4 linked regions of the Notamacropus eugenii genome follow. The protein of the gene in region 1 interacts with the protein of each later gene in a pairwise test. Links are inferred from orthologs where the notes say so. Each region holds a gene or a part of one and is shown in the gene's direction. Other genes may lie near its edges.

Region 1 (7,355 bases):
GATCTATGAGCCGACCAGGGAACTGGAAGAAGCTCATAACTGGGGAATTGCCAAATTGAAAGAGTAGGGGAGCTCAGAGCATATCCAGGATTGAGGGACTCAGCAGATGGTAAGGGACCCAGGGGGAAGTTAAGTTGGTGGGAATTTTTGCTTAAAAAAAAAATAAACAAAAAAAATAGATACACAGACATGGGGGTGGGGTGGAGTGGTGGTGGTCAAGGAGGATGTGAAAAGCAGGAAGTCATAATCTCCCACCCTCTTGCCTAGTCAGGCCCAAGGGAGGGGGATGGGAATTAAGTGACTAAGGAATGAGGGAAAAATGGGGTTGAACTTTCTGGGCACAAAGCCATTCTCAAACATACCTCATTTTTTATTACCTCAGGGCTGACCAACCTACTCCCCACCCCACAGACAAATTGGTAATACTTTTCCAAATAAGAAGGCAATGAGTCCTTGCCCTTTCCGTGCCACCAAATACTTCCCATTCTATCCCTCACACCACTTGGGAAGCACTGAAACCACTGACTTTGGGTATGGAATGGCCTTTTGCTAGAATCTGAAACCCTGTTACCATGGACACTAAGTCAGAAACTAGAAGTAAGAGTCTGGAGCAACAGTTCCCCACTCAAAGGGGATCTTGATGCTCTGATAACTACAAATGAAATGAGGACAAATGGTCTAAATTAGGGGAATTAAACTCAATTCGTGATTGAGGCACTGCTGTAGGCCACGATCTTTCAAACTGACCATGATCCTAAGCCTGAGTTCAGAATTTAATCCCTGAACTTCAATACTGATTCTGATCTGATCATTGACTCACTCTTACCCTGACCCTTAATCCTAAACCTTTGGACTTATTTCTAGCCTAGTCCAAATAGCTAACTCTCTTTCTGATTCCTAACCATTTAAATCTAATGCTAACCTATGACTAACCAAAACATTCAACCCAATTCCTGAACCCTAATGCTGACTCTGAAAAAAATCACTGACCTTTAACTCTCATCTCCTTAACATTAACGACTTCAAACACTGACCCTAAGTGGAAAATCATTATTTAGTAGATATTCCCAATGGCCTACCAATGATGCCTGAACCAATCACTGACTACTGACGTCTATCCTTAACCCTTACTCACATCCTTTCATCCTAACAATGATCCCAATTTTTGGATCCCTGATCAAATCTAAACTCTATTTGGCATTTAGAGTTTTTACCTTTTCAGTCTTTTCTCTGTGAACTCTACCACGCAGCTAGCCTGGTCTCCTAGCTGTTCTCCAGTTTCCTTGCCTTTTCACTGGTTGTTCCCCAAGCCTGGAATGCTCTATCTGCTTACCTCCAACTCTTAAGTTTTCTCTATTTTCTTCAAAATTCAGCTCAAATTCCATTTTGTGGTGTAGGCCTTTCCAGATTCCCCTAGCTGCTAGTAATCTCCCCTCTCAGAGGTCTTCCTACTCACTCTATATATCTTCTTTAGGTACTTATTTCATGAAGCTTCCTCCTCAGAATGTAAGCTCCTTGAGGGCAGGAACTAGATTTTCTTTTTTGCATTTCTTTGTATTTTTCATTGCACAAAGTCTGGCACACAGCAAGCACTTATCAAGTGCTAGTTGACTCATGGTTGGCTAACCGCCCTCCACAAACACCAATGCCATTCCTAATCCCTGAAGCCTAATTTGATTCTTGGAAGATAAATTCATCCGTAATGCAGACCCGAAACTCAAGTGCTACCCCTGACTTTTAATTTGATTCCTGACTAACCCTTTCCAATTCTAAACCTATGATCCTACAATCCCCAACACTGACCCACAAACTAATCCTGACTATCCAAACCTGTGAATCCTGATGCTATCCCTAATATTAGCCGTAACTTGCCCTCTGTATTCTAACAGTGATCTAAAAAACAAAAATCCTGAGTGTAGAGCTTGCCTATTTGTCATGAGCCTAAATCTTAACCAGGTTGCCCTGATTTCCTTCAAGCCTCAGCTCAAATCCCACCTGCTTGCCCTCTCACTGCACAATGCCTCGCTCTGAGATTATCCTCCATCACTCCGCACTATTTTGCCCGCACACAGACGTCTGCACGCTGTCTCCCCTATCATACTTCGAGCTCCTTTCGGGCGGGGACGCTGTTTTCGCCTTTTTCTGTGCCTCCAGGGCTTGTCACAGCACCCGGCAAGAAGAAGCGCTTCCATACTTGTCGCCCCACAATCTCAATAACCAGTAAGGGCCAGCACATCTCTCCTGTTATCCTCAGGACACCTCCAACGTCCATCGGATACTCGGCTCCAAATTCCAACCCCATTTAACTCGAACTTCCCCCAAACCTGGGGCGCACCTGAGCCTGCATCTCCGAACCTACCCGGCCAACGCCAAACCCAGGCACGCCATCCCGGCTCCGGACCCCGCAGCCCGGACCAGCGAACACCCTCCCACCCGGCCTTGGAGCCCTCCCGATCTGCCCCACCCCACCCCGCTAAGCCCAGCCGGGTCCCCCGTCCTGGCCCGCCTCACCTCCCCCGTCCCCACGATCCGCTCCCCCCTATTCCCGAACCCCAGCTTTACAGCCCAGGCCCGTCAGCCTCGCCCCGCTACCCCATAACTGTCGCCCCCCAGCATCCCGGGTACCACAACTCCGCCCGCCAAGCAGCTGGACAAGCAGGATGGACACACCCGGACCCTGACCTCTCGGGCCAAGGAGGGAGCCGGCGGCGGCGCCCACCCTGACCGCCCTGGCTGCGGACCGAGGCTGCGGCCTCCGCTCGACCCCTGCCTTCCCCCCTCCCCCTCCCCCCCCCCACCCTCCGCCGCGGCCGGGCCCCCTCCCCCGGATCCAGTCCCCTCCCCCCGCCCGGCCCTGCCCCTTCCCGCCGCCGTCCCGTCCTTCCTGGTCCCGCCCCGCGCTCGGCACCGCCTCGGCCCTACCTGGGCCGTGCGGGGACCTCTCGCTCGTTGGCCCGCCCTCCAGGTCACTCACTCGTTCGCTCTCCAGGTTCCCGGGTCCGGGGTCCGGCCTCGCCCTCCCGCCGACTGACGAACTCTCCGCCACTTCCGTCCCCGGAGCGCGTCCCCCCCACCCGTGGGCGGCGCCCTGGGCCCGCCCCTCTACGGCCCTGGCTGCTGCAGGAAGCTGCTCTGGCCCCCGCTCTCTATGCCTGGGAGCCGGCCCGGAGACCCGGGCAACTTCCCCTGCAGCGAGGGCGGCGCATGCGCGGCGCGGGCCGCGGCTCCGTTACCGCGCGCAGCCTAGCGGACCCGAGGCGCACTCCGCCCCGTCTCGCTGTGCTGCGGGCTGCTCTGGCGGGGGGGCGGGGCCTCCCTGGCGGGGGGGCGGGGCCCGGGAGGCGCGCCCCGCGGGAAGCCCGCCTCTCGCCCCCTCCTCAGCCCCAGACCCGCGGAGAGCCCGGCGGACGAAAGCGGACCCACCTGTTTCCCCGAGACTTCCCGGCCTGACCGAGCCCCTCCGTCTGCAGGGCATGTGTCATGTGTGAGTCTCCCCAGCAGACCCGGGAGCTCCCCCTTCCGCCCTCCGCCCCAGGGAAGGGCCCCGCCTGCCCTCTGATGCTCGTGGGGGTCGCTCACGCCCTTCGCGTGGGCTCGGGAAAGTTGGGGACACGCGCGGACAGGGAGGCCAGCGGGAAGCCCCTGTGTGTGTGTGACAGAGGCAGGGAGGGGCGCTCTCAGCGGTCTGCGAAGGGCGTGCGTGGGTGGTCACGGGGACAGCGAACACGTCGTCACTCACACCTTTGTAAACCACCTCGAAAGTACCTGACCGCCGATTCACGTCGCGACCGCACTTTCTGTTGGTGCAGAGGTGAGGGGCCACGGGTGCGGAACGTGGTGTTTGCTCCCCGCCTGTGTTCAATGGAGGGGGCTGGTGGCTGTCAGGAAACGAAAGGCATCAATAAAACCTAAACGAACAAAGAAAACTCATTGCGTGTGCACAGAGCGGGACCGATCGACCTCAGGAACGGAAAGCCTGGCGAGGGGTACGAGGCTCGGGGATACATGACAGCAGTCGGAGTGCGGGCTACATCCGGGCGGGCGTGGGGGAACTACATCTCCCAGCATGCCGCGGCCTTCTGGCTGACGTCATTTTTGTGGTGTTGGAAGGCTGGAGCTGGGTCGGGTTTGGGAGAGGCTGTCCGGGCTGGGGAGAGACGGCCCGAGGGGAAGTAGAACCCCAAATTTGGCCAGTTCGCGTAGAGGTGGAAGGGAGCAGACGAGGGGTGGGGTTGGAAACCTGGCCGAGGAGGCGGAGAAGTGGCCATTCCAGCCCTCCAGGGTAGGTGGGAGGGCGTGCCGGTGCTCTCTGCTTTGGGGGGCGGGGTGTGTGTGTGTGGGGGGGGGGGGCTGGGGCCGGGGCAGGGCCGGGCCGACCCTGGCCCTCTGCTTCCAACGTCCCCCCTCTGGGGCTCTATGATGGGGGGCCGGAGAGAACAGACAGAGCTCCTCCATGGCAGGGACGGCTTTTGCTTTTCTTTGTATTCTCTGTGCTCGGCATATTGTAAGGGCTTAATATGAATGTTGACTGACCGCCTTTCACCTTCTACCCTTTGGAGGGGAAAAGAGGATCAGGATGCGGATGGTGATTCCTTCTCCTTCTTCTAGATGTCCACCATGGAGCCTGTCCTGGACCCAGGTGACAACGACCTGCTGGATTTCCTGAAGGAGGAAGGGGGAGATCTATGGGAAATCCTTGGGGAGAGGGAAGAGGACCAGCAGGATGATGGGATGCTGCCTCCTGAGGTGAGTAGGGGCTGGGCCAGGCTTAGCCTTGGTTGGGGTAATGGTGGTGCTATAAATGAAGAGGAGAGATTCCAAGGAGAGTTGGGACAGGAAGCTGGGAGGAGAGGAGCAAGGCCTGCTTCTGAACTAAGTGGCTGTATAGGTGCTGAATGAGTGGGAAGCAGAAGAATTCCTGATGTCTCTGCTGGGACCCCCCACCTCACCATCCCTCCCAAGTCCTCCTAGCTACAGCTTCATTCACACTGATCACACTTACTCTCTGAGCTGGAATGTACAAGGTTCCTCCCAAGATGATGTCTACATTGACCTGGGTAAGCTGGGAAAGGGGAATCATGTATGCGGGTAGGTAGTGACTGGGAAGGCAGAAAGAGGATTCTGAGGGAGGGACATGGAAAGGGGGATGAAACTAGGAGCCCAGGGCTCTTGGTTCTAATTATTTTCCTCCTGCAGATGATGATGGTCTCAGAGATGTGGCTCAAGAATCAAGGGTCTCCTTGCAGATGGAAGAAATGACACTGCAGGTATCTGGAGGAGGGGCAAACATTAATAGTAAGGGGGAGATGATCACCTCTGATAATATCAGGATGCTTTGATCAACCCCACACTTCTCTCTCCTCAAGCTCCAGATGTCTTCTTCCCACTTTATTTACTCCTTGGTCCCTCCCTGTCACATGTCATTTTCCTGTTTTCTCCAGCACGAGTTTCCTCAGTTGATACTGACAGATGAAGAGAAGAGGCTGCTACAGAAAGAAGGGTTGACCCTTCCTGAGACTCTCCCCCTTACTAAGGTGAGACTCCTTCATGGTCACGGGTATCATGCCTGGTACCATTTGAGGATGGCCATAAAAGGTCTGCTTTTCAAATTTATGGGCAACAAACCTGGGATAGCTAATGTTCCAGATGTCCGAATCACATTTCAAAATACCTCAACAGAAACAACGTGCCCAAGCTAATATGATTAAACTTAGAAATGGCAACTCCAAGTAAGTTCAAGAGGACAATTGCACAAATATAGGAAAGGGGGAGATGTTTCTTAACAATTGCTGTGAAAAAGACTTGATGATTTTAGCTGATTGCTTCAATATGAAACAGCACGGTGAAGTGGTTTCTAAAAAAAAAACTAAGACATTCTGGGAAGCATTAATAAAAGTATAGTATCCTCCAAAAGGAAGCACAGCGCCTGGAGCATAGTGAACACTTTATAAATGCTTGTTGATGAATAGGGTGGCTATAGCATTTGCTGTTAAACTGAATCTAAAAGTGATGATCAGTACGTATGAATGAAAGAATGATTAAATAAGTGCTGGAGGTACAAATGGAAGATGGCCCCTGCTTTCGAGAAATTCACCTTTTGAATAGAGGAGACAACACATACGGAAGCTTTCAGCTGCTAGTCAGATGGAAAAATCCCATGGTTAGGCTGAGTCATTATGGGTTTATTAAGAATATGATGACCAGACTAGACTCATTTCCTTTGATGGGTAGATCAGAATAATGATTTGGACACGATATCTAGATTTCAGCATGGCATTTGATAGCCTTTTAGATAAGGTGGGGAGATAGAACCAGATACAATAGTACAGATAGGTAAATTTGGAATGAACTCAGCTTGGAGGGAAAACTCCAGTGGAGTGCTCGGATGCTGTCTCCTTGGCCTTTTTGTTCAATATCGTGAAGGCACAGATGACCTCTTGACAAAATTTTCAGTGATGGAGGGATAGCTAATATTATTAGCAGGGGGCTAGTCTTTAGATCAATAACCTAAATAGTTTCAGCAGGCCTAGTTTAAGATGATGAAATTTAATAGAAATAAATGTAGTCTTACACTTGGGCTCAAAGAAATCAACCTCGTGAATTTAGGATGGGAGATATATAAAATAGTTGTTTGTCCTTCGTTCTCAAAGAGGACCATGACATCAAGATGATGACATGACTTGCACTTGACTTTGATTTGAGTGAGGGAGGGCTGGGCAAGGTCACCAGCCTCACTTTCTTCTCCTGAGTCATCTGGGTCCAGTGACCAGATATTCATCAGGATGACTGGAGATGGCTCAGAATGCAGTGTGAGACCTTGACCTTTTTAAGCCAAGGTCTTATCACATTCTCACTCTGAGTGAGATACACCCATTCAATGAATAGGCCTCTGACATAAAATAGTAGTTTACGTGAAAAGGACTTGGGTATTTTAGCAAGCTCAATGTAAGTCAAAAGTGTGACAAATCAGAAAAAAAAAAGCCAGTGATCCAAAGTTGCATTATTAGTCCTCATGTCCTTTTGCCCTGACCAGGGCACATTTAGAAGACATCATCTTCAGATCTAAGAACCATAGTTTAGGAAGGCCATTGGGAAGCTGGTGTGTGTATAGATGAATAACAGCTTGTCTTTACACATTTGGACAGTCATTAGCTGGAGGGATTCTTTTTTGTTCTTGGTCCCAGGCAATAGAATTAAACCAACAGATGACATTTACCAGATTCTGATTTAAGTTAAGAACTTTCTAATGGTATATTGTCCAAATGTAGTACAAGCTGCTTTGAGAGTTAGTATGTCCTGTCATGTCTTCAAAGATTGGATGTCCCATTTATTCGGAGTGTGGCAGAGAAAATCTG
Region 2 (7,819 bases), on another chromosome or scaffold:
ACATTTCATAACAAAGAAATCCGTATTACTCTTACTCCATAAGATTCAGAGACTGATGACTTTAAGAAAAATGATTTTATTTAGGCTTCCCAGAGAAAGTTCCTTAGGAATTGCCTATTTAACTGATATTCTAATAAAGTGGTGTGAAATTCAAATGGGAATGGGGGCCACTAACCTGTTTATGTGGATCCCTGCAGGCCACATATTGACTTCGCTTTAGAATATAATGTTATTATGGTTTTTTTATCTTGTTAAATATTTCCCAGTTGCATTTTAATTTAGTTTTGCCCCATTCCGGAGTGTTGCGGCTAATATTTGGGGCCACCTATGTTTGACATCTCTGCTCTACTGCATATTCTTCCTCCCAGTCACACCCCTTTCCAATGGAAATCCAAAAGACATCTCATGTCCTGGTGGGGAAGCCTTAGCCTTAGGTGGGAGGCAGGGCAAAAGCAACTGTAAGGAAATGTATGAGATGATTGATGATTCTACTTGATACTACCTTGAATTGTTACATAGTTTTTTCTGTTTTTATGTCCTGTATTACTACCATCACACCCCTACTCCCTACCCACAAATGATACACTATAGTGTACTCTGTAACCCCTTTGAGGGATAGAAATTAAGCTTGGTGTCTGGAAACATTTCCTAAGAATTAGAGTAACATTAGACAATAAAGGCTTCCCACCTTGTCCTGTGTGTTGCAGAAGGGATTAATTCTTCAGTTACTATTTGGATTAGATTTCCTCTGAGGTCCTTTCCAACTCTGTGATTCTACTTGTCTCTGGTTTTCTGCACAGTAATCAACACACTTTTTGACATCACAGGTATTCAGCAAACACTGGTGGATGGATTGGAATCAGAGAATCTAGTCCGGGGTGGGCAACCTTCAGCCTCGAAGCCACATGTGGTCCTCTAGGTCCTCAAATGCTGCCCTTCAAAAGGATTCGGTCAAAGAGCTGCACTTGAGAACCTAGAGGGTCACTACATGTACCCCGAGGTCAAAAGTTCCCCACCCCTGCTCTGGGTTCAGATCCTGATTCATATCTACTTATTTGTGTGACTTTGGAAAAAATACTTAACCTTTCTGATTCTCACTTTTTTAATCTTAAAAATGAAGAGAGTGGATTGGATGGTGTCTAAGGGCCTTTGGAGTTTAGTCTTCTCACTACTAGTTAGCAGAATACCCTTTCCCAGAAGCTTCAGTCTTCTTTGTTCAGATCTCTATAAGGCCCTTGATGATTTGAATTCTTTTTTTTCAAAACCACCCGTTAGCAGACTTTTAATAGGAGTCCAGACCTGGTGTCAGCCCTCCCACTCTACAAACTTAGCTGGCAAGCTCAGCTAATGTGGTGACCGCAGCTGGGATCCTCCTGGCAGCTGTCTTCCTGCTGTCTCTGGACTTCATGCCTATTAAGGTAAGGATTTTTCTTTGGAAAATGGGGGGATGGGTGGGAGGGGGGGAATCCTGCTCCTCCCAGTACATTCTCCCTAGAGAAATTGTTCTTTGTGGGATGAGACATGAGTCTTACTCTTCTTGGAGGAGGAGGGGAAGCAAAAGTGAACTCCCAGCACTTTATGCCCCACAGAAACTACTGAGTGTCTTGGCATCCTGGAGCCATTCCCTGCCTGCTTTAGAGAGGTTTCTTTAGAGCAATAAGACTAGGGCTGCTCCCTGAACTAGGTACTCCATATCAACTTTTCATAAATTGTCTCCTGTACCTAAAATGTACTCCCTCCTCACCTCCATCTTCCAGGATCTCTAGCTCCGTTCAAGACTCAGCTCATGCTCTCTCCTACAGAAAACCTTGCACTATCCTCCTTCGTTGTTCCTGTACCCTCTCATCTTCCTCAAATTATCACAGATAGGAGACAACTGGGTGTTGAAGTGGAAAAGTAGTAGAACTACAGTCAGGAAGGCATGAGCTCAAATCCAGCCTCAGAAACTTTCTAGCTGTATGACCCCAGAAAAGTAATTTCACCTCTGCCTTGATTTCCTCATCTATAAAGTGGGGACAATAATACACCTACCTCTCAGTGGTTGTGAAGATAAAATGAGATCATATTTGTAAAGTGATTGGCAAACCTTCGAGCTCTATATGATGTACGTATTTATGTATGTACATATGTATGCATGTATCCGTTTAGATATATTCACCCAGTAGAATATAAGTTCCCTGAAATCAGAGATGGTTTTTCCTTTTAACCCTAGTCTCAAGCACATTACCCAATCCCCACCAGTTCCTGGGACATCATTGCCAAAACTACATTATACTTTCTTTATGTGACTGTCTTATGTAGCCAGTTTGATCTCAAAGCCCTGTTGATGGTTCAAGTCCCACCTTTGACACAATACTTACTTTCTGACCCCTGGGCAAGGATCCGAACCTCTCACTATTCTTCCTAACTTTTTGTAAGACTAAGCTGCGGATAAAGGACTGATTTGCCTTGGAAGTCGAAATTTCTTCTCCTAGGATTGCCATATACCAATGAAATCACAGGTCTTTTATTTTGTGTATGCTGTGTATGTACATGGTACTTACTCCCAAAAGAATGTAAGTTCTTTGAAGGCAGGAGCTTTCATTTTTGACCGAATCCCCCCCGTACCTGGCCTGGAGCAGATACCTAATAAATGCTTGAACTGACTGTCCTTTGCTAACCGAAACTACCTTCCTCTGGTATAGTCAAGCCCTGCGGATGCAGTCAATTTCTCCTACAGATTAATGAGGCTAACAGCTCTTGATCAAAAAGATCCCCTCGGAGGCTTTTTCTTGCCAAAAGCTCCCTTTATCACTGATGGGGTGTCCAAGGAAGCACTTCATACATAGAGCGCGGGTTATGGAAATATCTAGTCTGTCACCACAAACACGGAGGGAGCGTAACCCTCGCTAATTCTAGCCCCCAAACCCTTCCCGGAGCTCTCCTCTCCCCGGATCCACGCCCCTCCTTCTCTCCATCACTCTCCTACGCCCTCCTGTCCCCCTCCTCTCTCTCCAAACCCCTCTCCTGTTCCCTGTCCAAGCTCTCCTTTCCCTCCCTCTACAAGCACAGCGCCCCCTTCCCCACCCCTCGCCTCCCCGGCGCCCCGCCCTCCCCGTGGCCCCGCCCCCTCCCCGCGGGGCTCCAGCTGAGCTCGGAGCTCGGAGCCCGGCCTGGGGACTCGGGATCCCGCTGCTGCCGGGGCCGCAGGATGGGGCGCGTCCTCGGGGGCCTGCGCTGCATCAAGTACATGCTGCTAGCCTTCAACCTGCTCTTCTGGGTGAGCCCCAAGAGGGGAGCGGAGTGGGCGCTCCAAGGCTGAGGGGAGCAGGACGAATGAGGGGGGCTCCCCAGGGAGGAAGGGAGGGAAGGAGGGACTGCAGTTCTGAGTCCGGGTCCGGGGGGGCGTGGGATCGAGAGTGACAGTGGGGGGGAGGGAATGGGGGAGGAAGGGGCGTGTGTGTGTGCAAGTGTGTGTGCATGCCTGTATATGTGTGCATGTATGTATGTGTATGTGCGCGAACCTAAAGGGGATATAAGAGTCAGAGACACAAAGAGAAGGAGAGAACCAGAGGGAGAGTGATGGAGAGGCGTAAAGAAGAGGCAAACGGGCTAGACAGAAACGTTGGGGAATGGAATGAGAGAAATTTTAAATAGGCTTCATTCTGGGGCAGGGATCCCTTCCTGCCTCTATCTAAACGCTCCCCCATTCCTCCTCAGTCCTCCAGGCAGTTCTGGCTGAATGGGGCACCACCTGCTTCTCCTCACCTGGTGTGGATTTTCTCCCTTCATCAGACCCTCCACCCCTCCCATCCTCTAACCTGCTTGTCAGTTTCTTCTTGCCAGCTTTTCCTCCTCTCCGGAGCCTGGGTCTGATCAAGGGGCCAGGAGGGTCCAGGCAGGTGCAGAATGCCCCTTTGAGAGACAACATAAAAAACCAGAACCAAATCTGGAGGGAAATCTTTTGTTTTGGGGAGGGGGAGTGCAGTGCAGGGGAACATTGGTTCACCGTAGAGCCAGGTTCAGAGAAGGGAGGAGGAAGTGCTGGCTGGGGACCAGAGGCTTGTGTAAGGGGGTTTTCCCAAGGTAAACAGTCTTGTCCCAGCAGCCAACTAGGTCTCTCGAAATCCTCCAATGTACCCAGCACCTTTTGATTCTCAGAGATGATCTCATCCAACTCTGAAGGAGTTTATTATATTGACAATAGGAGGAGCAAGAACCAAATATGGTTCCCACTTCATAGGTGGAGGCACTGGGTCTCCGACAGAGGGTCATGATGCCTTGGGTATTTCAAACTCTCGCAGGCATGATTAAGACAAGACCCTTCTTAGATCTCTCATTCCCCCATTGCCTACATCTTGGAGGAATCAAAATAGGGTCTAAATGTTTTCTCTCTCTTTCTTAGCAACTCTTTTTAGGGTTTACCACAAGACGTAAATTTCCATTGTGTAGAGGGACTGCTCCAAAGGACAACAGGCTATCTATTGGGGGTGAGGGCTGTTTTTCATTTTGTTTGTTTTTTCTGAGAGACAGTAGTGATATAGAAAAAAAGAACCGTGAGTCCAGAGTTAGGAGATGCGGGTTTGAATTTTGGTTCTGACATTTCCAAACTACTTGTGATGGTGACATTTTAAGCATCAGTTTCCTCGTATATAAAAAATGGAGATAATAATATCTGTAGGACCGACCTAACAAGACTGTTGGGAAGAAAGTGTCTTATAAGCACTAAAGTACTAAATCATTTAAGTTATTCTTCTGAGATAGGAATGGGACAGCAGTGACCTGAGTCATTGAAGCTGCCCTGTCTTCAAGGAAGGTATGGAGGGAAAGCATTTTTTCTGGTTTAAGGAAGCTGTTCAGTTTTAGAAAGACCTTCCTCTCCCAATTGTCACTGATTACTAAATGGACCCCTGGGAGTGGGGCAGTCTGCACTTGCATCTGCCAAAGCAAAGTCATTCCCAGAAGACCGCATTCTCCCTTGGCTCAGGCTGCCTTCAGCAAGAGTCTCCAGCAGCAGCAGCAGGTTTGGAAGAGAAGCATGTAACTGGGCTGATATGTCCTAATATGTCAAAGGTATGATTTCTGCCAGTTGAGGTATTTTCAATGAGTTTATCTTATGAATAAATGCTTATCAGGACACAAAATTCCAGATTTTTAAAATTTTCATGTGAAATGTGTTGTCAATCCTTAATTATCCAGATGCAAATTATCCACTCTAGATTGTCTGCTATATATTTTTAATCTCAATTGCAAACCTTTTCTGGACCATCTTTCTCCTTCTCTTCATAAAAACAAATTAATTTTAAAATCTGCCTGGAAAGAGTATAATTAGGAAGGTAAATCTGCTACAAAAAAAAAGTTTATTAATTTATATTTACAGAGTACCAATTATATGGCTAGAATTGGTTTTTGATCTCGCAGAGGGGTTTGTTTTTTTTGTTCCTGACCAAATTCAGTCACTGTAGGGAACATTTGTGCTCTGATGTAGAAATAAAGTTGGGCAACTTCTCTTTATGTTAGACTTAGACAGTAATCGGGGAGCACTGAAAACTTAAGTGATTTGTCCACTGTCACACAGTTTATGTGTCTGAGTCCTGACTTGAACCTAAGGTTTCCTGACTTCTAGGTCTGTCACTATAGTTACCCCACCAGAATACCTCAAAGGCAGGTAAGTAAAGAATAAAACACTTCCTGCCTTTAAGGATTTTGTGAATGTTTTGTTAAAAAAAAAAAAGGTTATGTGAGAAAAACAATAAAATTAATAACACCATACAGTTTATAAATGAATAGAAAATTGTGTGGTATGGGCTTGCATGCTAAGGATTAGACAAAAAGAGATCTTGCACTGTTGGAATATAGATTCATAGCATGCTGGATCTAAACGTAGTGTAGAGGCAATGTATTGGGGTAGAAAAGGAGTCTCAGGCACTGAATTCAAATCCTGACCTCTCTCCTTTCTGTCTGGTGGAGGCACTTAACCTATCTTGGCCTATCTCCTCCAGCCTACTTAGAGGTTGGACTAAGGTGCTTTCCAACTATAGATCTGGGTCCTATGATCCTCCCTCAAGTGTCCACACTTTGGTCTGGATTTTGACTCTGACCTGATCCTACTCTCACTATATTTATTGCTTGTCTGCATACATGTCTTATCCCCAACTATTGAATAATAAGCTCCTTGAGGATTTGAACTGTTGTTTTTCATCTTTGAATCCCCAACAGTGCTTTGCACATTTGGGGAGAGGGTCAAATTTGTAATTTCATAAATGTAGGGAACTCCCAGGTATAGAAATTCCTCCTCAAATGCAGATCAAAAACTCCTCTCTTGACTTGTCTTCAAGAGTTGTTGGGTATGGTTAAATAGTACCCATGGTCTCATAGCTAGAATGTGCCAGAGGCAATAAGTCAACATTTATTAATCTCCTCCTATGTGCTAGACACTGTGGCTAAGCACTAGGGATAGAAAAAAAAGACAAAAGAGAGTCCCTGCCCTCAAGGAGCCAACAATCTGATGGGAGAAAAAACAAGCTAAAATTTACAAACCAACTATATACGAGATAACACGTCCAATTCTGTGTGACTCCATTTGGGATTTTTTTGGCAGAGATGCTGGAATGGTTTACCATTTCCTTCTCCTACTCATTTTATAGCTGAGGAACTGAGATTAAGAGTTGAGTGACTTGCCCAGGGTCACAGAGTTTGTAAATATATGAGGCTGAATTTGAACTCATGAACATAAACCTTCCTGATTCCAAGCCTAGTGCTCTATCCACTGCCCCATCTAGCTGCCCGTATAAGATAAATAGGAAATAATGAACAGAGAGAAGGCACTAGAATTAAGAGGAGTTGGGAAAGGGTTTCTGTAGATGACTGGATTTTAGTGGAGACTTAAAAGAAGCCAGGGAATTCACTAGGTGGAAATGGGGAGGGAGAACATTCCAGGAATGGGGGACAGCCAGTGAAAATGCCTGGAGCCAAGAGATGGAGTGTCTTTTTCATAGCACAGAGAAGAGGCCAGTGCCGCTAGGATAGAGGAGTACATGGTAGGGAGTCCACTGTGCCATGCTGTCTTATACGTAGTTTGGGTCTGATAAATGTCTTTTGAATTGTTGAATCTAGGCCAGTCTCCTAACTTGATGTACAGAAAATCAAGCCCAGAAGGGAGAAAGAAATGACTTTTCAAAGATCCGAACAGTTACTGGGTGAGGTTTCCTGACTTCCCTTTCAATGTGCTTTTAAAGTAGTCAGGAAAAGGTTTCATGGAAGAATTATTATTGTTAACAGTAACAAAATAATAATAATAGTAGCATTTGTGGACTATTTTAAGGTTCACAAAATGCTTCATAAATATTTTATCCTCAGAACAGGAAGGCAGGTAGGTAGGTCCTACTATCATCCCCATTTTACAGATGAGGAAACCAAGGTAAACAGGGGTGAAGTTACTTGCCCAGGGTCACACAGCTAGTAAGTATCTGAAATTGGATTTGAACTCAGGTCTTCCTGACTCCAAGTCCAACATTTCATGCCCTGCACCAGGCCCTTTGAGGGTTCAGTAGGAACTGGATAAACGACTGCAAAGGACATTGCCAGGTGGGAGGGGGGAAAGAGGAGAGAACATGATGAGCGAAATCACAAAAGGGAGAATAAATATAGCACGGCTTTTGACAGGAAGGCTGGTTAATGACTTGAATTAGCTGCATCTTGGGAAAAATCTGTACTCTGTCCCTTAGCTAATAAGCCTGACTTGGTCTGCCTTGTTCTACAGTATTTTAATGGGTCTGTATTCTTGATGTGGAAACTCTCTCCAAAAGTACAGATTGCCATCCATTCACGACTCTCTTTG
Region 3 (7,194 bases), on another chromosome or scaffold:
CTCCCCTGATTGTGCCACCTTGGAGGAACTGAGAACTTACAGATCCCTAGAGTATACCTTCCACTTGACAAAGAACTCAAAAGTCAAGTAACTAACTGGGAAAATGCCTAAAAAAGGAGGGAAAATAAGACTATAGAAGGCTACTTGCTTGGTGAAAAGGTATTTTCTTCCATCCTTTTGGATGAGAAAGAACAAAGCAGGCCATCAGAGGAAGACATCAAAGTCAAGGCTTCTGCATCCAAAACTTCCAAAAAAGTAAGCAATGGTCTCAGGCCATGGAAGAGCTCAAGAAGGAATCTGAAAATCAAGTAGGAGAGGTGGAGGAAAAACTGGGAAGAGAAATGAGAGCAAAGCAAGGAAATCATGGAAAAATGAATCAACAGCTTGCTAAAGGAGACCCCCCCCAAAAAAAAATGCTGAAGAAAATGACACCTTTAAAAATAGACTAACCCGCTCATCCAACCATTCTGGAGAGCAGTTTGGAACTATGCCCAGAGGGCTACAAAAATGTGCACACCCTTTGACCCAGCAATACCGCTTCTAGGACTGTATCCCCAAGAGATCACAAAAATGGGAAAGGGTCCCACATGTACAAAAATATTTATAGCATCTCTCTTTGTAGTTACCAAAAACTGGAAGTCAAGGGGATGCCCATCAGTTGGGGGATGGCTGAATAAATTATGGTATATGAATGTAATGGAGTTCTATTGTGCCATAAGAAATGATGAACAAGAAGACTTCAGAGAGGCCTGGAAGGACTTATATGATCTGATGCTGAGTGAAAGGAGCAGAACCAGGAGAACTTTGTGCACAGCAGCAACCACAGTGTGCGAGAGTTTGTTCTGGTAGACTTGGAATTTCATAATAACGCAAGAACTTATTAAAAAAAAATCCCAGTGGTGGTTTTCTAAGGCAAAATGCCTTCCACACTCAGAGAAAGAAATATGGCAGTCATTTGCAGAATGTAGCAGATCATGTTTGTGTGTGTGTGTGTTTTTGTGTATCACGTTTTGATTTGTTATATGATTTCTTCCATTTATTTTAGTTTGACTACATAGCATGACTATAGTGAAAATGTACTCAATAGGAAAGTATATGTAGAACCTATACAGAATTGTATGCTGTCATGGGGAGGGAGGGGGGTAGTGGGAGGTAAGCGTGGGGGGGATAAAATCTCAATTGTATGGCAGTGATTGTAAAACATTAAAAAATAATAATAATTAAATTAAATTTAAAAAAATAGACTAACCCAACTGGCAAAAGAGGTCCAAAAAGCCAATGAGGAGAAGAATGCTTTAAAAAGCAGAATTAGCCAAATGGAAAAGGAGGTTCAAAAGCTCACTGAAGAAAATAGTTCTTTAAAAATTAGAATGGAACAGATGGAGACTAATGACTTTATGAGAAAGCAAGAAATCACAAAACAAAACCAAAAGAATGAAAAAATAGAAGACAATATGAAATATCTCATTGGAAAAACAGCTGACCTGGAAAATAGATCCAGGAGAGATAATCTAAAATTATTGGTCTACCTGAAATCCATGTTGAAACAAAGAGCCTAGACATCATCTTCTAAGAAGTCATCAAGGAAAACTGCCCTGATCTTCTAGAATCAGAGAATAAAATAGAAATAGAAAGAATTCACCAATCACCTTCTGAACAAGATCCCCAAAGGAAAACTCCTAGGAACATTGTGGCCAAATTCCAGGGTTTCCAGGTCTAGGAGAAAATATTACAAGCAGCCAGAAAGAAACAATTCAAGTATTTTAGAAATTCAAATATTGTGGAAATCAGGATAGCACAGGATTTAGCAGCTTCTACACTAATGGATCAAAGGGCTTGGATATGATATTCCAGAGGTCAAAGGAGACAGGATTAAAACCAAGAATAGCCTACCAGCAAAACTAAGTATAATACTTCAGGGGAAAAAATGGAATTTCAATGAAATAGAGGACTTCCAAGCCTGCCTGTTGAAAACACCAGACCTGAATAGGAAATTTGACTTTCAAATACAAGAATCAAGAGAAACATGAAAAGTTAAACAGGAAAGAGAAGCCTTAAGGACCTCTTTAAAGTCTAACTGTTTACATTTCTACATGGAAATATGCTATTTGTAACTCATGAGACCTTTTTCAGTGTTAGGGTAGTTAGAGGGAATATATATATACATATATATATGTATATATATACACATATATGTATATATATGTGTGTGTTTGTGTGTATGTGTATGTGTGTGTATTATATATGTGTAGATATGTATATGTACATGGGTGTATGTATATATATGTATATATAGACAGAGGACATAGGGTGAGCTGAATTGAGGGAGTATGTCTAAACAAAATAAAATTTACTGTTGAATGGAATGTACTAGGAGTAAGAGGAAGGGAGAGGTAGAATGTAGCAAATCATCTCACATAAAAGAGGGAAGGGGGGGAGATGAAAGGAAATAATTGAGCCTTATTCTCAGGGGATTTGCTTTAAGGAGGAATAACACACTCAATTGGATATGGAAATCTATTATACTCTGCAGGAAGGCAAGGAGGAAGGGGATAGAAGAGGGAAGATAATAGAAGGGACAGCAAATTGGGAAAAGGGATAATCAGAAGCAAACACTATTGTGGGAGGACGGGTCAAGGGAGAGAATGGAATGAATGGAGGCCAGGACAGAACAGAGGGAAATGTGGCTAGTCTTTCACATCCTAACTATTACGGGAGTGCTTTGCGTTGTTACACATGTATGACCTATATTGAACTGCTTGTTTTCTTAATAAGGGTGGGTGGGGAGGGAGGGAGAGAATATGGAACTCAAGGCTTTAAGAATGAATGTTAAAATTTGCTTTAGCATATAACTGGAAATGAAGCTATACAGGCAATGGAGTATAGAAATCTATTTTGCCCTACAGGAAGATAGAGGGGAAGGGGGATTGAAGAAGGGTGGGTAATAGAAGGGAGGACAGACTGGAGGAAGGGGGGGGGTGAGGAGAGATGGGGAGAAAATTTTGAATTCAAATTCCTGTGGAAGTGAATGTTAAGAACTGAAAATAAATAGATTATATATTAAAAAACCCCAAAAAACAAACAAACAAAATAATTGAGAAGGGTCCTCCCAAGGAGGAGGAAAGGAGGGGAACACAGGATGCATTGAAAAAGGGGACTCTGAGAAGGAGCTTCATCAGTTGACCATACCCATTAATCAGAACTGTACTGGCAGGGGCACCCAAAGCAGGTAGGGATGGCTCATAAGGAAGTTGCTGGAAAGGCCTTAAGTTGGTCAGTACAACTGGTGACACAGATGTGTGGCCAGTCATGCCTGGCTCTCCCCAGGGGGCTCAGCAGGGGAGTGTACTCATCTTTGGCCAGTTTGCCCTCGAGATGCTGGGAAACAGCTGTCATCATGTTGATCAACCAAGAACCATTTATGAAGCATCTACTGTGTACCTGCTGGCACCAGGTGAAGTCCCCAGGTCTTTTCCTGCCCGGTCAAGCCTCCTCAGATCCTTCAACCAATCCCCCTCACCCGGAGGATGTCACAGTGATGAAGTACCCCCAAGATTACTGTGTCTGTTTTCAGATAAAGAAAGTGAGACCCAGAGAAGGGAAGGAAGTCAGCAAGTCAGGTGTCAAAGCCAAGGCTTGAAACCAGGTGATGATAATGACGATGAAGATGGTAACAGCTAATGTATAGGTAGTATTTGTGTATATTTACATGGAGAAAGACAGAGAAATGGAAAGAGAGAGAGAGAGAGAGAGAGGGAGAGAGAGAGAGAGAGAGGAGGGAGAGAGAGAGAGAGGAGGGAGAGAGGGAGAGAGAGGGAGAGAGAGAGGGAGGAAGGGGTTTGCCTTTTCCCAGGGTCACATGGGAAGTCCCTTGTGTAGACTTGAAGATATATCTACACAGCACGCATATGTCTATACAACACCACCTCGTCACCGTCCCATGATGCCGGCTCTTTGTTCATCCAACGAGGGTTTCATTGCTGTTCTTAGGAATTCAGCAGAAGTGGAAAACAAATCCCAGGTGTCCAAAAACAATGAAATCATCTTTCATCACCGTCCGGAGATTTGGAGCCAGCCCCAGGCCTCATATTGGGAGAATGAAATGGGAGGGCCTGTCACCAGATGGGAAGACTTTGTGTTGGCAGCCCTGGAGAGCAAGCGGTCCACAGAGCAGTCCTTTGTTTTCCCTCCAGGAAACAGCTGTGAGAATGAAAGGGGGAGCCAGAAGAAAGGCCCTGTTCTGGGGCACACACAGATCTGAGAGGAGGGAGCTAGAGCACCCAGGGGAAGGAGGGGATCTGACAGAGCTTATAAAAGCATGGAGCAGAGCCGGCTCTGGGACCAACTTCTTCAGCCTGAGCACTTAGCCAGCGCCCTCCAGGACCAGCCTGAGGATCACAGAAAAGGTACGCCTTTGTGAATGGGATCGACAAGCAGGGAAGCAGGAGAAACTGAGGCACTGTTCCTGCAGGAGGCTTTAGCCTCCCTCTCCCTTCCCAAGAGACTGTCACAGCCATAATTCTAGTTAGGCACAGGGATCCCTGGGTCCTGGCTGGACTGTTCGGGTCATCCAGACCACTGTTAGGATGAGGACGAGAATCAGAGCTTGGGGAGAAAAGCTGTGGTTCTGTGTGAGGACACAGGGATCTTTAATGCCTATGATACAGAGCAAAGTCTGCAACCCAAAGGGTCCCAGCTCAGGAGTCAGAGGTCCAGGTTTCACATTCCACCGTTGACATCTGTTGCCTGTGTGACCCAGAGCACGGCAGCCAGTCAGTAGATAAGTATTTAGCTAGCCCAAACTGTGGGCTGGGGTGCACAAAAGAGAGTCCCTGCCCTCAGAGACTTCAGAGCTCACACTCTGAAAGGAGGAGGAAACACACAGCTGCAAAGAGGATGGAGGGAGAGAATCCCCAGAGGAAAGGTGCTGGAATGAAGAGATGGGGAAGGGAGGCTTCCTGTAGAAGAGGATTTTAGTTGGGAGCTGAAGGAAAGCAGGGCACCAGAGGTGAGGAGGGAGAGCATTCGGGGCATGGGAACCAGCCACAGAAAATGCCAGGAACCCAGATGGCACTTCTGGTTTGTGGAAGAACCCTGAGGGCAGGGTCTCTGGTCCGATAGTGATGCCCATAGCATGCGGTGCCAGGAAACTGCAAAGGGGGAAGTGAGCTTATGAGGAAAGAATTTTCCATGTGATCCTGAAGATAACAGGAAGCCCCTGGAGTTTATGGAGGAGAGGAGGAACACGGTCAGAACTGGGCTTTAGGAAAATCCACCAAAGGTGGCTGAATGGAGAAGGGGCTGGAGGGAGGGCTATGGGGCAGGCAGACCCCCCTCCAGCAGTGGATGTGAAGGGAGGAGGGTCTACACCAGGACCGGGTAGGGGCAGAGGAGAGGAGGGGGTGCACTGAAGGGGAATCCTGGCAATAGCTCGCATGTGGGGATCCCAGGACAGGAGGGCAGGAGCAGGGACGTTTGGGGCATGTGGGGCATCTACAGGGCATCTGAGCCAAGATGCCTGAAAGGAAGCTGGAGATGTGAGTCTGGAGATGCAGGAAGAGAAGTAGATTGAGGAGTCATTTGGGGTTTCCTTTCGTCTCGCTGTCTTCTTGTCTAAAACCTGACCTCTGACCTCAGCACTTCACAGAAGTTATTCTCTCCAAAGTGATCCGTGATCTTTTGGCAGCTAGGAGGCGCCATAGTGCACAGAGCACTTGGAGTCAGAAGGTCTTGAGTTCAAATTCAGCCTCAGACACTTACTAGCTCTATGACCCTGGTACCCTGTTTCCTCCCTCACTTGTACAATGAGCTGGAGAAGGAAATGGCAAACCACTCCAGTATCTTTGCCCAGAAAACTCCAAATGGGGTCCCGAAGAGTCAGAAAGGACTGGACAACAAACACAGAGATGATAATTAAATCCATGAGCACTGATGAGATCACCAAGTGAAGAAACAGAGAGAGGCGTGACCTGGATGAAGAGCCAGCCAAGGAGACAGAGGAGAAGGAAGGGTCAGGCTGGCAGGAGGAGAACAAGAGAGGGAGGAGGGGAGTGATCACTAGCATCCAAGGCTCCTAGAGAGGTCAAGAAGGAAGGGGACTGAGAAAAGGCCACTGAGAGCTCATGATCCCTCTAGGAGGAATGAGGAGGTCTGGAGCGGGGCTTAGACAGCTAAGCAGAGAGAAAAGGAGGGCAGCGAGTGGGGCTGACTTCAGAGGTTTTAGCCACCAAACAGAGCAGAGAATAGGCAGGTGGCTGGCAGGGACAAAAGGACCGAAGGAGGGCTTTTTGGAGGATGGGGGAGACATGGACAGTTCATGGGGAGTAGGGAAAGAGCTGGCAGAGGAATCTTCTCCCTGGGCCTTGCAGTCCTGGGCCCCACTCCCTCTGGCCCTGCTTAGACACACCTAACCCTCTCCCCACCAGGCTCTGAGACCCTGCAAGCATGGCCTTACCTTGTTCTGGAAATACTCAGCTTGTGGCAGGGGGAGAGCCCATTAGAGGGATCCATTTACATTGAGGAAGCTGGGAGGCCAGGAAGGGCAGCATCTTCAGGTAATGGGGCCGCCCTCTGCATAGGGTGCACACCCAAAGAGCTGGCTGTGTAGAGACTGTTGGCTTGTTGGTCCCCATGAGCTCCCTCAGGCCTGGCACTGTCTTTTGTCTCTTTCTGTATACCCTGCCTGGCACTTAATAAATGTTGATTGACTGTGTAAAGGAGGCAGAGAGGTCAGCGCTTGCAGGGACTCCCCTCCACCCCTGTCCCAGAGCTTTATCCTGCTCTGGCCAGAACAAACGGCCTGTGTCTGGGGAAGGCAGGAATGCAGCCCTGCTCAGGCCCTCTTGGGGCACTGGGTTCTGCTCTGGGCCTCACCAGTTTGGGGGAATGTCGATGAGTTAGAGAGCATCCAGAGGAGGGTGCCCGGGATGGGGGCCTCAGTCGAAGCACCTGGGCTTGCTTGGCCTGGAAAAGAGGAGACAAGGGAGTGGGGAGCTGTGAAGGTGCTGACCAAGGTCCGTGACCCTTCAGGAGACCTGGCCTTTTTGTAAAGCTCTCCACAGATCTGATTATGGCCATTTTCCTGGTAGAAACCCTGAGGCTCCAAATGACCTCCCAGCTAGGAAGTCCAGGTCTCTCCACTTGGCCACACAGCCTCTGGTTGGACCAATGATTCCACAGCAATATCTACTGAGG
Region 4 (7,732 bases), on another chromosome or scaffold:
TGGATGGACTTCTCTCTGGGCTTGCGCTTGGGGCCTCAGGGCAAGAAGGCTCTCCCCAGACAGTCCCCCAATTCTTCTGCTCACTGTCCCCCTTCTTCCTGTCCCTGCCCCTTCTGTCCTCCTCCTGCCTGCCCTTGTTCTCCCTACCCTTTCTTTGTCTGCCCTTCCTGTCCTTCTGCCTGCCTTTGTCCTGCCTGCCCCTATCTCCCCTGCCCATCCTGTGCCTATCCACCCTTAGCCTGCTCTCACACCCCCTGCCCTGCTTGTTCACCCTGCACATGCCCTGATTTCTGCAGTCTTTGCCCTGCCTGTCCCCATCCTCCCTGCCCTAGCCACCCCTCTACCTGTTCCCATCCCACCCCTGGCCCCACCTGTCCCTCCTTTAGGGGCCAGGGAACCCGTCCTTGCTCCCGTTGTTGCTATGGCAACAACTACAGCTGTTATGCTCAGGGTCCCAGCCCCCCTGCCAGCTGCTGCAGCTGTTGTTGCAAGGGTCTCCAGCTCTCTGGGGGTTGTTGTTCAATGGCTTAGGTTGGCTTTTGTTCCTTTGTGGAGTTTGTCCTCCTCCCAAAATTCTTCCCACTGCTATTGCTGCCTCTCCCTCTCTAAGTCTCCCTTCCTGGAATCCCCTCAACCTGGGGTGGTCTAGGCAGCCACTCCCACCTGGAGGGACAGAGAGGCTTGGCTGTTCCATTGGGCCAACTGGGAACTACTTGGTAGCCCAAGGACCATTCTCATCGTCATGAGAACTTCATCATCTGCAACTTCTAGGGGCCAAAAACATTTTTCCCCCCTAGGTTAATGAACTTTCTCAGCTGTACTAGTCTTGGGGTGAGAATCTTCTTAGTATCTCTCACTGGAACAAGAGACTTCTATACAGGTAAGAGAAACTTTATTCATTTGAGAGAGTTGGAGGATATTTTGTTTATACTTCACACCACTCACTCCGACCAAAATCCCTGAGAGCCCTCAAGGGACTAGAACCCTGGTGCTCTGTTGTCCAGACTGGCCCATCTCCTGGGATTGGAAAAAGAGACTTAAGTTGTGATTTTTAACCCCCTTCCCTCAGATCTCTCTCCCTTCCTAAGGCTCACCTTTGTGTGATGTTCTCTCTCTGCCTACCACTATCTTTATGTCTTTCTGACTGTCTCTCTTCGTAGATGTTTCTGTATTTAGGTATCTCCCTAGTCCCATGACCTCAATCCCTTACTCCCCTCCCTCCCACTCCAGGTAATCTCATAAGTGATGTTCTTGCCCATCTGGTCTAAGTGGGGAGTGGAAATCCGGGAGAGGAGAACATCACGTGGTTCTTTCCAACACTTCTTTCCACTTTGTTTTTCCCAAATACACTTGCTTCCAGTCACTCTCTTTCTAACCTACCTTTGGCCCTAGGGGAAGGCAAACAGCATCCCATAAAGACGTTAGAGTTCAGATCTAATGGTCTAATACTTCTGAGGGGCAGAAGGCAAGAGTCTTCTTTCCTCACTCTACGTTTCTCTTCCAAACTGTCTCTGGGCCATTGTGTATTTGTCTCCGGGCCATTGTGTATTTGTCTCCCCCCAAGTCCTTGGCACTGTGACTTTTCACCTGTCTCACAGTCCTTCCCTCAGTATATCTTCCCTCTGTCTTTCTGCCTCTCATGCTGACTCCGGGACATTTTATCCTTTTCCATCTCTCTGCCTCTCTCCCTGTGTCAGGCTAAACTCTACTCTGTTTCTTCTGTCTCAATTTCCTCTCCTGTTTCTATATTTTGGTTTTCCCCTTTCCACCATCTTAATCACCCATCTCCTCTGTCTTTCCCCTCTTTATTTCACTGTCCCTATCTTCACCTCCATTTTTGCTTTCTTCTGAAACTTGCCTTTGTATTTCTGCTACCCCCTCCCACCCCTCCACCCATTTTTCGGGTCAGTTTTGGTTTTTTCCATTACTCTTTTTATTTTCCCTTCTGCCTTTGTCTTTTTTTTTATCTCTATCATCCCCTCCATCTTTTTCTCTCTTATCTCTCTCTTCTGCCTGTCTTTACCCTTTTTTCTTTCTCCTTGGGTCCTGCATCTCACTTGGACAACATAAGTGTTTCCTGTTCTGCCAGGACCCGAACGTCTCCTCTATTTGTGCCATGCTCATTCCTGAAATATTCCATTTGAAGATTTCCATTTCCCCACTAAGGAAAGGGAAGAAGAATTGTCAAAACAGTTCCCAGAATTCCTCCCCAAACTGAGGAGCCAGGACACCCTGCCTCAGATACATAACAAAGAGGTCCTGGTGAGGGGAATTTGGAGGTGTGGGGCTCTCAGCCTTTATCCCCTCCAAATCCTTTTGGTTAGACTGGTTAATTTGTAAAACCCTGGGGTTTCTTCCCAAGTATGGTTTAGTCAAAGCTCTTAAGAGCCAGCAAAATCCCAAGGAATGGTTTTGTTCAGAATGGGCCAATAATAAAAATAAATACAGATGATAATTTGTTATTGTTCAGTCGTGTCTGACCGAACCCCATTTGGGGATTTTTTGGCAAAGATACTGGAATGGTTTGTCATTTCCTTCTTCAGCTCATTTTACAGGTGAGGAAACTGAGGCAAAGAGGATTAAGTGACTTGCCCAGGGTCACACAGCTAATAAGGGTCTGAGGTTAAATTTGAACTCAGGTCTTCCTGATTCCAGGCCCAGTGCTCTACCCATTGTACCACCTAGCAGCTTAGATAATTATTACACAGGTAATTTTACCTATGTATTTTCCCCCATTTAACAGGTGATTTGAATTTTACACTATTCAAAATAAGGAATAAAACATTCCCCTTCTTTGGAGGAAGAGTCATAGACCATGTTGTACTTCTCCTTATATTTCTATGTAGCATGATCCCATTATGTACAAGAGAAAAGCTCAAAAGGAAGAAAAATCTCATTCAGTCATGGGGAGGTAATGCAAAGCTAAGTGGCAGAACATTCAGGTAGGGTGACCTTGGGGACATCACTGCATTCGTCTGGGCCTGTTGTTCCAGCTGAAAAATAAGGAGAATGATCACTTCCTATCTCTCAGATGATGAAAGGACCAGTAAGATGCTACAGATGAAGAAGTTTGGATTGAAATTCTTGTTTTTACTGTTATAGTAGAGAAAACTTATAATAGACATTTAAGATAACATTTTTAAGGTTTGCAAAGGGTTTTAAGGCATTATTTCAGTTGGCATAGAAGGTATTACAATATTGTTCCTATTTTACAGATGAAAAAACTGAGGCTCAGATTGATTATGTGACTTACCCATAGTCATGCTAAGGAGGATGTGTCTTGATTCCAAGGCTAGTGTTTTTTCCACACTTGCCCTCTACCACCAGCCTCTCCATCTGCAGCCTCAGCCCTAAATGGAGGTCTGTTCAAAAGGAATCGCACATGACTAGATTATAGTAGGATGTTAGATGAGTCCCTTTCGACAAGCATCTTAACTACCTGGCCCATTCCTGCATTCTCCAGCTGTGGTAGAATGTTGTAGTACATATGAGGGAGGGGGTGGGGGTGGGCATGTGGATTTAGTTGGCTTCCCTCAATTCAAATTCCAAGATAATCTTGGGTAACTCACTTAGAATCATAAGGTTATATATTATTTTATATTATAATGGGTAGAGGGGGTGGGAAGGGGAAGCAGAAATACAGAAAATAATACAATACATAATCATAGTCTTAGAGACAATCTAGTCCAATTCCATCATCTTAGAAAGAAATAAACAGAAGCCTAGGAAATTTAAGTGACTTGCCTAAGATCACACAGATAGGGTGAAATGAGATTTGAACTCAAGTCCTCAGACTCCAAATTCAATGTTCTTTCAACTGGACTTTAATTTCTTCATGTGCAAAATCAGGCAAAGGTCTTATTAGCTGATCTTCCACGTCCCAGCTCCACGAAGCACCAAGACTTATAGAAACAGCTTCCAGAAATTCGAAGGTAGGCCCAGCCTGGTCAAAAGCAGCTGTGCAGTATCATGATTTTCAAAGCTCATCTAAGCCAAAGCCCTCCTTTTACACACAAGGAAACTGAGGCCAACATAGTGGAAGTGCCATCCTTCACCCTAAAGCCAGACTAGCCAAAGCTAGGTGTGAGAGTAGAGAGAATGGCTGGAGTGAGGAGGACCCGTGTTCAAATCCAGCTGCAGACACTAAGGCTTGCGGTAAAGATGAAATGTGCAAAGTGCCTTGCAAACCTTAAAGCACAGTATAAAGGCTAGCTGTTGGACAGGGCTGGATAGCCAGCGCAGGTGCCCGCTGAATCTACCCCGCCCCCCCCCGCCCCCCGGTGGTGAGGACTAGATGATGGGGAAGTTTGTACGGTGCCTTTGCAAGCTAGCCATATATGAGACAGTATTATTACTGCACATGATCCTAACAACAATCCTACACACACACACACACACACACACACACACACACACACACACACACACACACACACACACACACACACACACACACACACACACACACACACTCTCCTATTACTCCCATTTTACAGAGCCGGACACGAGGCTGAGAGCGAGGAAGGGACTTGCCCAGGACCCTACGGGTACATTTCTGCCTCCAAGCCCCGCAGCAGCCCCGTCTCGGGAGCGGAGGCAAAGCGCCTTAAAAGTTATCAGCAAGAGGGTTACGGGAGGCGGGGGGGGGGGCGGAGAGTTGGAAGAGGGTGGAGGGGCAAGTGGGAGGAAGAGGAGGAAAAGGAGGAGGAAGGAGAGAGAGGAAGGAGGGGAGCAGAAAGGGTAGGAGAAGGAAGTGGGAGAAGGGGAAGGAGGAGGAGGAGGAGAAAGAAGGGGGAAAGGGAGGGAAGGGGGAGGGGGAGGAGGCAAAGGCCGGGCTTTCTCGGACCCAGGTCCCCTGCCTGGAGGATGCAGCGTTCCGGCCACCCCGCCTCGGGGCCCGCGCGGAGCAGAGGGAGCTGCCCAGCCCCGCAGAGGTGAGCCGGGGCCGCTCCTCGCCTTCCCAGTCCAGGCGTCCGGGTGCGTGCCAGGGGTGGGGACCAGGAGCGCCGAAGGCAGGAAGGAAGGAGGAGGGAGGAGGGAGGAGGAGGGTGAAGGGAGGGGGAGGAGGAGAGGAGAGGAGGCCCCGCCCCTCTCTTCTCCCTCGCCCTCCCCCGCCTGAGCTGGGACCTCGTCACGTGACGGGGCTGTCATGGCGGGGCCCACGGCGGCCTCAGGCCAGCCGGGCTCCCGGAAGCGAAGCGAGGGGCGGAGGCTTCAGCTGGAGCCGGAGTGGGGCGGGCGGGAGCCGGACGCGACCGGGAGCGTCCCCGCAGACCGGGGCAGCAGGTGAGAGCGGGGGAGAGAGCAGAACAGGGCCAGGGGAACGCGGCGAAGGGCGAGCCCGGGCTAGGGAGCCGCGCGCGTGGGGGGCTCGTGGGGACAGGGCGGGGATCCCGGGAGGAGGAGAGCCGGGGATGGGGTTTGAGCGTGGGGAGCCGCGGAAGCTGGGCTGCCCCGAGCAGGGATCCCGAGTGTCCCTGGACCCGGGACACCGGCCTGCCTGGTCCCTCCGGCCGGGGCTCTGGGGGACCGCGGGGAGCGTCGTCGGGTGAGGGCATGGAGCTGCGCCCTGCCCGCCCTTACCTTTCGCCCTCTTCCCCAGGTCAGCCCGGGCCCCGCCATGCTGGTGACGGCCTACCTCGCCCTGGCCCTAGTGCTGGCCGCCTGCCTGGGGCTGGAGCTGTCCGGATGCAGGGCCAAGGCCCCGGGCAGGGCTTGCTGCAACCCTTCCTTCCTCCGATTCCAGCTAGACTTCTACCAGGTCTATTTCCTGGCGCTGGCGGCGGACTGGCTCCAAGCTCCTTACCTCTATAAACTCTACCAACATTACCACTTCTTGGAGGGCCAGATCGCCATCCTCTATGTCTGCGGCTTGGCCTCCACCGTCCTCTTTGGCCTAGTGGCCTCCTCCCTCGTGGACTGGCTGGGCAGAAAGAAGTCTTGTGTCCTCTTCTCCCTCACCTACTCCCTTTGCTGCATGACCAAGCTCTCCCAGGACTACTTCATACTGCTTGTGGGCCGGGCTTTAGGTGGACTGTCCACAGCCCTGCTCTTTTCAGCTTTTGAGTCATGGTACATTCATGAACATGTTGCACGGCATGATTTCCCTCCTGAGTGGATCCCTGCCACCTTTGCCCGGGCTGCTTTTTGGAACCATGCACTGGCTGTAGCAGCTGGCGTGGCAGCGGAGGTTGTGGCTAGCTGGCTAGGTCTTGGACCCGTGGCTCCCTTTGTCGCTGCCATTCCCCTCCTCGCTCTGGCTGGCATCTTGGCCCTCTGCAACTGGGGCGAGAACTATGACCGACAGCGAGCATTCTTGAAGACCTGTGGAGGGGGTCTTCGCTGCCTCCTGTCCGACCGACGGGTGCTGCTGCTAGGTACCATTCAAGCCCTGTTTGAAAGTGTTGTGTTCATCTTCATCTTCCTCTGGACACCCGTCCTGGATCCTCATGGAGCACCGCTAGGCATCGTCTTCTCCAGTTTTATGTCAGCCAGCCTGCTAGGCTCTTCCTTATATCGAATAGCGACCTCCAAGAGGTACCACCTCCAACCCATGCACTTGTTATCCCTTGCTGTCCTCATTGTTGTCTTCTCCCTCTTCATGTTGACTTTCTCCACCAGTCCAGGCCAAGAGAGCCCAGTGGAGTCATTTGTTGCCTTCCTGCTCATAGAGCTGGCCTGTGGTTTGTACTTTCCCAGTATGAGCTTCCTACGAAGAAAAGTAATCCCTGAGATGGAACAGGCAGGAGTGCTTAACTGGTTCCGGGTCCCCTTGCATCTGCTGGCCTGCTTAGGGCTCCTGGTCCTCCATGACAGTGATCGAAAAACAGGTACCCGGAACATGTTCAGCATCTGCTCAGCTGTCATGGTCATGGCCCTGCTTGCTGTGGTGGGACTCTTCACTGTTGTGAGGCATGATGCTGAGTTGAGGGTGCCACCACCTGCTGGGGAGCCCTGTGCCCCTGAGCTCTGACCTAGACCTGGGGACAGACTGAACTGTTGAATCCCACCCCCAGGGGGTGTATATGTCTCCCTTTTGCCCCTGAATTGTCATCTCTTTGGCCACATGGGTTGTGCTTGCCCTGCCAAATGCTGTGGGCAGGGAGGAATGGAGGGGTGAAATAGATTTGAAAATCAAGGTGCTGGAAAGGGCCCCTGTGTTATTTCTCATCAAGACAAAAGAACCTGTTTTAAAATAAACTCTTTGAGTTGAATGCCAATTTGATTTTTCTTCCCCTCCTTTCTAGTTGGTCCAACCTTAATAGTAATTGGTAAGTAGAGATTTTCTTGTAGGAGGCAAGACTATATAATACATCATCCAGAGATGGGGGGTGGGGGAGCAGGTGGAGTAGAATCTCTTGAGGTTCTAAAGAGGAGAAACACTGCTTAATGATCTGAAAGGAACAAATCAGTGAGGTCAGGAATCCCCTTGGCCGCTTCACCTCTCCATCTGCTTGAAGTTAATCTCCCTAGCTGTCAAGTCAAGTCCATGCCCTATTGCTCAGGTTAGAGGATCAAGGTAGGCTAGATAAATTCCCAGGATGCCAGGCCACTAACTAGGCAATCTTTCTCAGAGACCAAGAGCTTTATTGTGTTATCAATAATTTGGCAATTCAATCAGTAAGCATTGGTTAAATACTATGTGCTATGGCCTAGCAGCATGGCACTGTGTCATGTATGAGAGATGTAAAGACAAAAGTGAAACAAAAGGCTTATGTTCTTGGGTATGTTT

Evidence for each region.
Region 2: the proteins of CREB3 (region 1) and TSPAN2 interact in a two-hybrid assay, tested with the Homo sapiens proteins (2 studies listed by BioGRID and IntAct). The two-hybrid records come from large-scale screens. The link is inferred for Notamacropus eugenii from reciprocal best matches to the Homo sapiens genes CREB3 and TSPAN2.
Region 3: the proteins of CREB3 (region 1) and APOD interact in binary tests that used the Homo sapiens proteins (3 or more experiments, as listed by UniProt). The two-hybrid records come from large-scale screens. The link is inferred for Notamacropus eugenii from reciprocal best matches to the Homo sapiens genes CREB3 and APOD.
Region 4: the proteins of CREB3 (region 1) and MFSD5 interact in a two-hybrid assay, tested with the Homo sapiens proteins (2 studies listed by BioGRID and IntAct). The two-hybrid records come from large-scale screens. The link is inferred for Notamacropus eugenii from reciprocal best matches to the Homo sapiens genes CREB3 and SLC61A1.

The regions. Positions count from the first base shown.
Region 1 is NC_092872.1:79,291,985-79,299,339, forward strand, and holds the start of CREB3 (cyclic AMP-responsive element-binding protein 3), read left to right. Parts: upstream 1-4,343; 5' UTR 4,344-4,453; coding exon 4,454-4,504; intron 4,505-4,608; coding exon 4,609-4,746; intron 4,747-4,888; coding exon 4,889-5,057; intron 5,058-5,196; coding exon 5,197-5,267; intron 5,268-5,441; coding exon 5,442-5,534; intron 5,535-7,355. UniProt on the Homo sapiens protein: Endoplasmic reticulum (ER)-bound sequence-specific transcription factor that directly binds DNA and activates transcription. Plays a role in the unfolded protein response (UPR), promoting cell survival versus ER stress-induced apoptotic cell death.
Region 2 is NC_092873.1:294,400,234-294,408,052, reverse strand, and holds the start of TSPAN2 (tetraspanin-2), read left to right. Parts: upstream 1-4,812; 5' UTR 4,813-4,881; coding exon 4,882-5,052; intron 5,053-7,819. UniProt on the Homo sapiens protein: May play a role in signalling in oligodendrocytes in the early stages of their terminal differentiation into myelin-forming glia and may also function in stabilizing the mature sheath.
Region 3 is NC_092877.1:386,924,905-386,932,098, reverse strand, and holds the start of APOD (apolipoprotein D), read left to right. Parts: upstream 1-4,177; 5' UTR 4,178-4,318; coding exon 4,319-4,406; intron 4,407-4,843; exon of another isoform or gene 4,844-5,008; intron 5,009-7,194. UniProt on the Homo sapiens protein: APOD occurs in the macromolecular complex with lecithin-cholesterol acyltransferase. It is probably involved in the transport and binding of bilin. Appears to be able to transport a variety of ligands in a number of different contexts.
Region 4 is NC_092874.1:226,175,003-226,182,734, forward strand, and holds MFSD5 (molybdate-anion transporter), read left to right. Parts: upstream 1-4,837; 5' UTR 4,838-4,934; intron 4,935-5,103; exon of another isoform or gene 5,104-5,286; intron 5,287-5,602; 5' UTR 5,603-5,620; coding exon 5,621-6,973; 3' UTR 6,974-7,220; downstream 7,221-7,732. UniProt on the Homo sapiens protein: Mediates high-affinity intracellular uptake of the rare oligo-element molybdenum.